Mus musculus: one gene and its partner. Each later gene encodes a partner of the first gene's protein in a complex. Links are inferred from orthologs where the notes say so. Each region holds a gene or a part of one and is shown on either strand. Other genes may lie near its edges.

Evidence for each region. The genes of interacting proteins can lie anywhere in the genome.
Region 2: the proteins of Actr3 (region 1) and Arpc4 are in contact, whole or in part, in a cryo-EM structure (PDB 6YW6), measured with the Homo sapiens proteins. The link is inferred for Mus musculus from reciprocal best matches to the Homo sapiens genes ACTR3 and ARPC4. Residues at the interface, in NP_005712.1 of Homo sapiens: Lys53, Gly54, Val55, Leu58, Glu121, Glu124, Tyr125, Glu128, Glu132, Tyr400, Glu401, Pro405, Arg409; in NP_005709.1 of Homo sapiens: Lys89, Arg92, Phe93, Met96, Arg97, Glu99, Asn100, Arg156, Ile159.

Annotation. Positions count from the first base shown.
Region 1 is NC_000067.6:125,407,095-125,412,310, reverse strand, and holds part of Actr3 (actin-related protein 3), read left to right. Parts: intron 1-936; coding exon 937-1,047; intron 1,048-3,695; coding exon 3,696-3,791; intron 3,792-4,911; coding exon 4,912-5,019; intron 5,020-5,216. UniProt on the Homo sapiens protein: ATP-binding component of the Arp2/3 complex, a multiprotein complex that mediates actin polymerization upon stimulation by nucleation-promoting factor (NPF).
Region 2 is NC_000072.6:113,376,186-113,382,085, forward strand, and holds the start of Arpc4 (actin-related protein 2/3 complex subunit 4), read left to right. Parts: upstream 1-1,927; 5' UTR 1,928-2,020; coding exon 2,021-2,023; intron 2,024-4,540; coding exon 4,541-4,659; intron 4,660-5,777; coding exon 5,778-5,889; intron 5,890-5,900. Other genes in the region: Tada3 (transcriptional adapter 3), read right to left, coding at 707-712. UniProt on the Homo sapiens protein: Actin-binding component of the Arp2/3 complex, a multiprotein complex that mediates actin polymerization upon stimulation by nucleation-promoting factor (NPF).

The sequences.
Region 1 (5,216 bases):
TAAAAAGGCAACTTAATTTGAAGGAAATTACTTTTCCCTCATGGTTAACAGTTCCCATTGGTATGCTTGGCCTGATATAGCTGTTAACAGTGGATTGAACTAGAGATTGCTATTTCCTTTTCTTTCTCTCCCTCCCTCCCTCCCTCCCTCCCTCCCTCCCTCCCTCCCTCCCTTCCTGGATTTGGGAGTATGTGTGCAGTATTTGGTTTTTATATAGCAACAGCTGGCAACCCAATTTTTCAAAGAAACAGTGTCATGAAGTAGTGTAGCACACTCTGATGTTGAAAACCAGATGTAGGCTAGGCTAGCACATGGTGTGGTGTGTATCCTGTGTATCCTTATGAATTCTAAGCCTCACAGATGTACTTGTGGATTGACTAATAACCTAGAATTCCTTGATTCAACACAAACCTATTTAGCTTTCTAAAGTAAATCCTAAATCCTTAATTATTATTCTAGTATTAAATATTATATATTTAACAATGTTTTTATTTACTGATTTGCACTATTATTATTTTGAGGTGACATTTCACTGTTGCCCAGAGTACTCTCAAAGTTGTGAGCAGTCCTCGTGTTTCAACCTCCTTAGTAGCCAACACAGTAAGTGTGTGTTACCATATCAGATACCAAGTGTGTACTATGTTAGATATACAACAGATACCAGTTAACAAGCTAATAATTAAAGATTAAGAAAATTAGGATAAAGTTTAACATTTTTGACAACATTCATCTTACGTTTCAACCACCTGGATATATATTGTAAAAATAATTTCATTTCTCTAAGTATGTACATTTCTACTTAAGCATGTATAGCCTCAGGATGACCTTGTGTTATAAAGAAATACATCTTTTTCTAGTATCTACTAATGAGCTAATAGTCTCTGCTTCAAATTTTTAACATTAATAAGACTTAATTTCTGAATTTTATTTTAATAGTGGCCAATTCGCCATGGTATAGTTGAAGACTGGGACTTAATGGAAAGGTTTATGGAGCAAGTGATTTTTAAATATTTAAGGGCAGAACCTGAAGATCATTACTTTCTTTTGGTAAGTACACATTCTGATTTATTGGAGACTCCCCCTTTTTCTACATGGGATATATAAGCTCAGGATGGCTTTAAACTCAGTATCATTCTCTCTTACCTTCCCAAATGCTGGGTTATCAGGCCTGTGCCTTGATGCCTAGCCTACTAGGAAAATTTTTAAGGAACATTTTAATGTTTCTGGTGTAATTAGCAAGCATACTTAATCATTTAAGTTGTCTTGTCTGAAAGACTTTGTTACATAAAACTAGGTCATTCTTAAAACCGACTGGCTGCAGGTAGAGTAACAATGTGGCCAAGCACTAAAGTGTAATCTTGTAAATGCTTTTGGTGGTTAATATGTAATCATTACGCTATCACCCGAAAATACTTGTTTATTCCGTCACTGACAAAATCATGGGAGGGAAGAAAGTTTGCTTTCAGCTCAGTTTCTGAGGCTAACCTCCACAGTTGTTTGGCTCTATTGCTTCTGAGCCTGTGCCTAGTGAGATAGAGCATCTCTGGGAAGCAGCTTCTCTTACTTGGTTTTTAAACGATTTGATAGGGACTTCTAACTTCCTAGTAGAATAAGTGAACATTGCCTTTTTTTCCCCTTTTATCATCTCACAACATAAAATGACTGTCATATTTTATGTCTTTTTTTTTTTATTTGAGTATGAGTTTTGCTAATCTAGTGTTTAGTGTTTCATTGTGGTGCTTTGTGAATACTATTTGTAGCTGGACTTTATTTGTAGTGAAAAGAACATAACTGTAGACACCTATATGCCTACAACCTAAGTGCAATAATTAACATTTCAGTATAATTACATTTAGCATAATTGTTTTGACATGTATTGGTTTATCCATCTGTTAATCTGTTTTGTTTTTGAATCACATCAAAATGAACAATATACAGATGAGAATCAATTCATGCTTAAACATTTAGTATGTCCATCATCAAACAGTTCATTATTTGTTTATATTCTTTTTCATTTTTTTTTTTTTTCAATTCAACATGTCCTCTTGTTGGGCTTTATTTAGCATGCCAAAGGGGTCAGCAAGATTGTCTACTAAATGACAATCTTTTTTTTTTCCTTTTTTTTAAATTAGGTATTTTCCTCATTTACATTTCCAATGCTATCCCAAAAGTCCCCCCACTCCCCTACCTACCCACTCCCACTTTTTGGCCCTGGCTACCCCTGTACTGGGGCATATAAAGTTTGCGTGTCCAATGGGCCTCTCTTTCCAGTGATGGCCGACTAGGCCATCTTTTGATACATATGCAGCTAGAGTCAAGAGCTCCGGGGTACTGGTTAGTTCATAATGTTGTTCCACCTATAGGGTTGCAGATCCCTTTAGCTCCTTGGGTACTTTCTCTAGCTCCTCCATTGGGGGCTCTGTGATCCATCTAATAGCAGACTGTGAGCATCCACTTATATTCTTTTTCATATAAAGTTTACTATAAAAAAAATCACAAAGCTAAATCATTCTATAGATTTTGACCAGGTGTGGCAAAAGAAAAAGGGCCAGATAGTGGTAGGTATGTAGTAGGTAGGTAGGTAGGTAGATAGATGTGATAGATAGTTTAGATAGCTACCTAGGTAGGCAGACAGACAGACGGATGGATACTAAAGAAACCAAATGAGAGCGTAGCAGGTTTTGTTACAGCTATCCAGCTCTACTGTAGAGTGGAAATAGCCATAGACCATACTTAATGTAGTCAGTAAGTATAAATGTGTTTCTGTAAAGTAGTTTTTCAGAATTAGGTGATTGGTCCACCTTTAGTTTTAACAGCTGTAGTTGTGTAAATAACACATTATCAATACCTTTTCTAGTTAATTTATGCTCCTTATTCCCTAGAGGTAACCAGTGAATCATTCTATTTTAATTTTATTTTACAAGTGAGATTAATCTTGCCTGTAGTTGGTTTTTACACTGATGAATTCGTATAAGATGTGCTATAGTAAAATTTACATCATGCAGTTATGTATGACAGTCTGGCTCTTTGAACATTCTTGTCCTTATAGACATTTAATCTCATCTCTTTTGTGGATTTGCTCTGCTGCAGGGCAGACACTTAACTGGTATAGAACTCTGGCCTAGGGTGACTCTTCATCCAACATTGTAATCGAATTGCTCCTGCATTTTAGCCTGTTAATCTCTTTTAATTTTAGTCATTATGATTGTTGATTTGGTCTTAGTTTGCGTTTTCCTGGTGGTGACTTGTAATGATATTGAACAATTCAGTTTTTTAATTGAAAATAAAATTTTCAATTATACTAAAAATTATAATAAATGTGTTCTGATTATAGTTCCTTTCCCCCAGTTCCTCGAAGATCTTTCTAACTTTCCCCCGAATCCATACCCTTTCGTTTCTATCTCATTAGAATAACAAACAAGCATCTAAAAACATAAACCAGCCGGCATGGGCAAAACAAACGGGGAACAACAAGAGCAAAAGCGGAAGGAACACACAGACACTGAGAATATGTTATTTTTGTATATGTGTAGGTCTGTTTTACTCTCTATGGTCTTCCTGTAGTCTTTGTGTCTTTTTACCTATAAATTTAGTGCCTTTCAAATTATTTTATAAATTAGTTCCCCTTTAGAAATTGCCTATAAAGTTTAAAGTGATCTGATACTGTCTATTTAAAATACCATTCAATTCAATAGACTGAACCTCCACTGAATACTCCAGAAAACAGGGAATATACTGCTGAAATAATGTTTGAATCCTTCAATGTTCCAGGCTTGTACATTGCTGTGCAGGTAAGTGGCTTATGCTTATTTAAGCTTGCCTTTTACATTTTATCCAGGCTTAATTTTCTCCTAAACCATGCATATCTCTTTTCCTAGAAAGCTTTAGCATAATTTGAATCATACCATGCTTTCCTGAGGTGACAATTTAGACACGGTAGGGCTGTGCTTGCCTGACTTCTCGGTGCTACTCGTCACTCATTTAGTATTTGTTTCTTTCTTTGGTGTGCAAAAGTCAGTAAGATTTCTGTAATCTGGTTGGTATATTAATATATACATATTCTAGTTTGGGTTCTTTTAATATTATGTGAAACTCTTCATTGTTAAACCTTTAAAAATATTGTGTGCTGGTAAGCAGTCATTGTATTATTGAAATGATTTTGTTGTTGTTGTTGGGTGATGAGCCATGGCTGCAATCTCAGGAGTCTGAAGCCACATGATTGTTGGGAGGTTTTTTGGTTTTTGGGCTTTTTTATTTTGTTTTTAAAGGAGGGTAGTAGACTAAATACCTCTTGGTTCCTTTTTTTGTTACATTGTAAGCAGGCAAAGTTAGTTTTATCATCTGTTTTTAGTAACTACTCATATATTTTGATTTTAAGAAATTACCTTTTTTAAAAAACTGATACTCAGTTTACAAAAGTTACCCCCATCCCCTTCCCCACCCTGGGAAGAGTTGTTTTGTATCAGCCATCATGAGATTCTTGGTAGGAAAGTGGTATTGTGTGCTACTGGTTTTCTAGTTAACTCATGGTGTCTGGAAGTGTGTATGGCCTTTTCAGTTAAGGTACTTGTATACTGCAGCTTGCACTTAGGAACTTCTGAGTTCTGAGTTTTTAAGAGTAGTGCTTGCTAGCTCATGGTGATGACAGGATATACTGGTAGTTTGTGGTAGTCTGATATTTAAGCTTGGGCAAGGTCGTGCTGTGCATGTTACATACATGTTTGTGTCACTCTTGCTTGTGGCTCTAGGAAGAGAGCGTTCCTTTTAAACTCTGAACTTTCTAAGTATCCTGATGCAGTAAGAGGCCCATGAACTGTAGACAGTATGTAGTCTCATTACAGCTTACTTCTGTAGACTTTCACCCCTAGTAACTCTTTAACAGGTTATTTTTTGTCTGTCTTAACCTTTTAGGCTGTTCTTGCCTTAGCTGCATCCTGGACCTCAAGACAAGTAGGAGAGCGGACGCTGACGGGTACAGTAATAGACAGTGGAGACGGAGTCACTCATGTCATTCCTGTGGTAAGTACAGAAAATTGCTAAAGAGGATGTGAAATAGTATACCCAGAGGCAAATGGTAGGAAAGATGGACCTTTACAAGACTGGAAGCTCTTCCTGGGCTACCACCATCACTGACTGCATGAGGATCTCGAAGATCTTAAGAGCATCAACAGTGCTAAAAGGAGGCCAATGCCAACTCCTTACCATACTATTCCCCC
Region 2 (5,900 bases), on another chromosome or scaffold:
TTAAAAGGGGGGCCTTTTGCCATGCTTTTCATTCATTCATTCATTCATTCATTCATTCAACATAATTTCTCTGTATAACAACTCTGGCTGGCCTGGAATGAACTCTATAGACCAGGCTGGCCTTCAATTCAGAGATCACCTGCCTCTACTGGGATTAAAGGCGTGTGCCACCACTGCCTGGTTTCTTTCTTTTGACAAAGAAAGGAAAAAGACTCCAGAAGAGTATGTACACATGCCTAGACTCCTAACTGCAATTTATTGTCTTTTTTTGTTTTGGTAGCACTGAAGGGTCTCACACATCTCCAGACCCTACCTCACCCCCATTTTGGGGTGGGGGAGACAAAAATCTCATTATGTAGTCTTGAGTGGCCTGATACTCATTTGCTACATAGATCAGGATTCATAGAGCTCCCCCTCCCGACCCCCACCCCAGAAAGCACCTGCCTCTGAGTGCTGGGATAAAGATATGCACTCAGGTTGGTCTCAAACTAGCTATGTAGCCAAGGTTTTGTCTCCACCTCCCAAGAGATGGAATTTTAGGCATGTACCACACCTGATTTATACAAGCGCTTGTTCATTCTAGGCACAAATTCTCCAAACTTAATTATGTTACAGTTACATCCAGCCCCCCCCCCCTTTCATGAATTCCAGGCCTTGAACTTATGATCCACCTGCTTTAGCCTCCCAAGTCACTAGGTGTACAAACCTGCATGATTAGGCCGGCCTCCTAGTTGCAATTTGAACCGCAGAAGTCTGGAATCTGCAGCATTAAGGAAGAGGAGATACTAGTGTGCCCTGTCTTCCTATGTCCTCTGTTTCCCTACGTTGGGTCGTTTCTAGCATTCTATTTGACAGGGTTCTCCCTGCCTCCTCTTGTCTCACTCCATTCCACCTCTGCACCTTCTCTGTGTCCCTGGCTAGTTTGGAACACAGGCTGGTCAGGTGAACAGAACTAAGTTCCAGCCCATTTTCTTATGTGCGTTTCTAAACATGTTATTTAACCTGAATCTCCGGTTTTTGTTTGTTTGTTTGTTTGTTTTTCTTTTTTCCAGGACAAAAGATGATGCCTCAGTCTATTTCCCCATTAAGAAGTATAAATCTGTAAAATGGGGGCATCGAGAATTACCTACCTCCCTGGAATGTTCTGAGGATTAAGAGGTGATGCTCGTCAAGTGCCCAGTTCAGTGCCTGGCACAGAAGTGGGACTGCTTAATGGCTGGCTCCACCTGTGTGTCGCCCCAAGATCCCGCCTCCAGGGTCCTCGTCCTCTAGGGAGCCCCTAACACAACCCCCGCCTCTCCTACCTCCTCTCTGCGGCCTCCTACAGGCCCTGGGCCGCAGGAGGGGGCGGGGAGTTCAGGGCGATCGGAGCAACTGCTCCGGAACTGGCTATGGGCGGGCCCCCTGCAGTTGACGCGAGGGCGGGGACGGCCAGCCCAAGGTGGCCTGTAGGGCCGGGGTGGGGGTGGGGGTCTAAGGCCACCTACGAATCTCCGGGAGGTGGAATGCTAGGCCTGAGGAGTCCCGGGCTAGGAAGCAGCCCGGGGCTGGGGTGGGGCCCAGAGCCCAAATCTCAAGGGACTGGCTACCCGGCCGAACCCTACGGTTGCAAATGGGAGGAGCCCGGAGAGGATAGGGGAGCACCACCGGAAGAAACGTTTCTCCGGTTCGGCCTGTCCTAATTTGGTGCCCAACCTGAGGTCGGGCTGTACTATTGTCACACGGGGGGAGGCTACAACCAAAGCGACAAGCACTAAAGGCGCTGGCGGAATATGTGTAGCGATCCAAGGGGACTCGACCGCTACTGTCTCATAGCAGGTCTTCTACAAGTCCCAGAGGTCCCAGTGTGAAATCGCCCCGGAGATCTGAATATCTCTCGGCTCTCCCTCCCCGGTCCTACCCGAGATGGTCCAGCCCGGAAGTGCTGTCGGAGACTGCGGCTGCGCCTCTCTCGAAAGGGCAGGCGTCGCGGGTCCGGGCACTTCCGCACTTCCGCTTTCCGGCCCAGACAGCGCCCGCGATGGTGAGAGACCAGGGGTTGGGGTCCTCCCTGTGTTTTGCCTGTAGAGGCTGTGGGTCTGGGGGAGATGCTGCTTGCCGCTAGGGCTTGCGGCCCGAGGTTGCCCCGGGATGAGGAGGCACGGGGAGGATGGAGAGGCAAAGGGTGGGGCGAGGGCCGAGGCGAGGAGGAAGGGGCGAGCCAGGAGGCTCTCTGAGCAAGAGCAGGCCCGGAAGCTTCCAGGTTGGGAATCCCGGGCTAGAATGACCTCTCCCCGATGTTCGGAGGGGGCAGGAGACCGGGCTGCGAAGCCCGTGGTGGTGGCTTGCAGCTGAGGTAGGACCGCTCTGCGGGGCCTCCTCTCCGTCCACGGTAGAGGTTGGCTAAGTACAACCCCCTGTCCCTGCCTGCCTTCGCGGTCTCACGGGACCTCGAGGCAAGTGTCCACTTCATCTTCTTACTTCTTGGCGCTTCCTGGAAGCCTTGCCTTCCAGCTCCCAATGAAGGTTCTGTGTTGCTTGCCTGCATTCAGACTCCTTCCTAGATGTGCAGAACCGTGTTGACCTTAACGTGTGTAAATGTTGATGGCCGCTGGTCCTCCTCTTTCATGCTCGGGTTTGGGATCTGTGGGTGCTCCGTGCAGTTGTTCTCCGAAAGGTCCCAGGCTTCCCACTACTTTCTCTGGTCAGCCCTTGACGACCTGAGTTCTAAAGGCTGGACTGCTTGTTGCACGCCCGGGAATGCTCTCAGGGAAGAGACTTTGAAATTAGACCCTCTTTTTCAAAAGTCACTTTTTAAAGCTTGCTCCAGTGTTAGTCCTAACTGGTTTCATTCCTTAGCGTGAAAGCCATTTCCTGCTGACTGAGTTTTGACTTTGCGTTTTTAAGCATTCAAGTTTATTGTACAATTTCTTCAAGCCACTAAAGGGTAACTATCACAGGGCTGGTCATCTAAAATTTAGTTTTCTTTCAATGAACCTTGACAAAATAATCAGGTAGCCACAATCGAGGTAGAGAAAAGAATATTCTATCACTTTCCCAACGGTACTTGTCACCGCACACAACTAATTTTGCCTTTCCGGTTTTGCCTCTTCTTGGTTGACATAAGAGAATGCTGTGGTATGGAGCTAGAACCCACTGCTGAACTACATGACAGCTGTTTTTTAGCCTTTATCCCCTCTGTCTGATGTTTGTCTGTCCGTGATCCTGTGCTTGTCTCCGCTGCCCCACGCAGCCTGTGCCTCTTCTCTGCCACAAGTCTCACTTCCTTCTCCATCCCGTCCTCCAGAGAGCCTCTGTGCAGCGGTAGCCCTGTAACTTCCTTCTCAGAAAGTCCCAATGCTTCCTGCTACATTGAGAGAAAAACTCAGTGGAAAGCATTCTAGACTGTCTAGGGTTTTATCCCAGCCTGCCATTGCAGCCTGATCTGTGCAATTTAAAGCAGTTTTCACATACAGAAACCTTGCACTCGTTACCAGTTTGGAAAGTCTTAATGCTCTTGTGTAAATCTAGCCCTGCTTAAGTTAGTTCATTTGTTCATTTACTCTCCAGAAAATTGGTTTGACCTGATGTATAGGAGGTGCTGGGCTAGATACAACCTGACAACTGAATAGAAGTTGATGTCTGTAGACCACGAGAATTACAAACTGGTGAAGGAAAAATTTATTCCTAACGTTCTGTTGTGAATTTTATGTAAAGTGAACATACCATAAACTGTAAGAAATGCATTGAGGGGGAAGTCAAAAAGGCCACTTTGAGGAAGGAAGGGGCCTTCTCCACTGAGCTGAGCTCTGAGAGGCTGAGCTAAGCTGCGGGGAGGAAGGGCTGCAGGTGATGGATGCTCCAGCATGTGATAAGCCCTGGGGGGAGAGAAGCCTTGCCCGAGATAATGTAGCTGGTCATTGTAGCTGACCTTGTCCACTGAGAATGGACAGCTTTTACTTTTTCTCATTGTAGAACCGTCCTGATCCTGTATCTGGTCAAAACCAGTTTCTTTAGACAGTCTAGATTATTTTTAAGACTAGCTAGTTTTATATGTTGCCCTCTGTTAGCCCTTGTGATTCTCGCCCAGTTGAGCTGTTTGAGGGTAGAAGAGAGATCACTTCTGAATTCCCAGCAAGTTCAGGACATGGATTGATACACTTGTCAGTGCAGTCAGCAGATAGGGATATGGCTCCTTCTAGATCATCAGCCTTACCTAGCTCTGGCACTGGTGATGCTGTGTAATTCTGTTGTGCATGCCAGGATATTGCAGCATGTCTTGCCTGTGTGCACTTATATCTGTAGTATCCCTGTCCCCAGGCTATGACAGTCAACTATTTCTTCAAACTTTGTGAGATGCCAAGCTGGATTATCTGCTGCTGGGAACCACTCGAGATTTTGAGTGGACTGCATCTTGAAGACTGGCTGTAGTCTGTTCTGTGTGACAGCCCTGCAGGAAGCCTTCGGTACTGCCTGTTGTGTAGGAGCTGCAGTGAGGGACTGGCTTTGCTTGGCTGAGGCAGACTCTGACCCTTCCTGTGTCTTGGGTTTATTCCTGCAGACTGCCACTCTCCGCCCCTACCTTAGTGCCGTGCGGGCCACGCTGCAGGCTGCTCTCTGCCTGGAGAACTTCTCCTCCCAGGTCGTGGAACGACACAACAAGCCAGAGGTCGAAGTCAGGTAGGGAACGAGGTCAGAGTGGGGCCGAGAAGAACATCCCCCAAGAATAAGCCCTGCCCAAGGGGGCCAGGGATCTATGCTTTTGCACTGTCAGGCTACCTTGAGTGACATTGGTCTTGTTGCCAGATGAATAGTTCCTCCTGATTTGGTTAATTCCAAAGCAGGGTCATAGGGCTCCCATTCAGAACCTATGGGAGACCTACCCCAGAGTGTGACCTTTAGAGCAGAGCTCTGGGGACGTGTCTCCAAAAGCGTGACAGCCACCGGCAGCCCCAGAAGGTCACAGGATTTAGATCCCAGAGATGATGCCGCTAAACTTTATTAATGTAAGGATCGAGACTTTTTTTTACTTTTGATCTTTAATATGTCTGACAACTTAGACCTTTTTACACTCCATATTTTGAAAGCAGTCTTCTCTTGACTGGTTTTTATTTCATAAATAAGTATTCTTCCTCTTTGAAATTTCACCTGGCAAGGAGATGATAGAACACTGCTAATCCCAGCACATGGGAGGCTGAGGCAATAGAATCACAGGGACAGGGCTAGCCTCAGCTACACAGTGGATCCTCTCTCAAGAAACCAAAAGCTGCAGCGGGGGTAAATCTGCGGTGTACATAGTTGTGATAAGCCACGCCCCCACATTAGATGATAAAGGTAGTAAACCCAGGTCCTTGGGACAGGCTAGGCACACACTTTACAACTGAACCGTATCTCCAACTCCAATGTAATTTATATGACTCAAACTATTGTAGCGTTAGGATGGACTGCTGCCATTTGAGAGACATGGTATGCTGCGTGCTATTACTTGATATACATGGTTTTCACTGGACATTTTATTTATTTTTAAAGATTTATTATTATATGTAAGTACACTGTAGCTATCTTCAGATGCACCAGAAGAGGGCGGCAGATCTCATTACAGATGGTTGTGAGTCACCATGTGGTTGCTGGGATTTGAACTCAGGACCTTTGACAGAGCAGTCCGTGCTCTAACCGCTGAGCCATCTCTCCAGCCCCGCTGGGCATTCTCCAACAGTGACAGTTCATAGAGCACAGGTACCTTTAGAACTACACAGAGTCAATGGCACCAGCTTGATTCTCTGCCTCTGTGGTTTTAGGAGTAGCAAAGAACTGCTATTACAGCCTGTCACCATCAGCAGGAATGAGAAGGAAAAGGTTCTTATTGAAGGCTCCATCAACTCTGTCCGGGTCAGCATTGCTGTGAAGCAGGTGAGTCACCA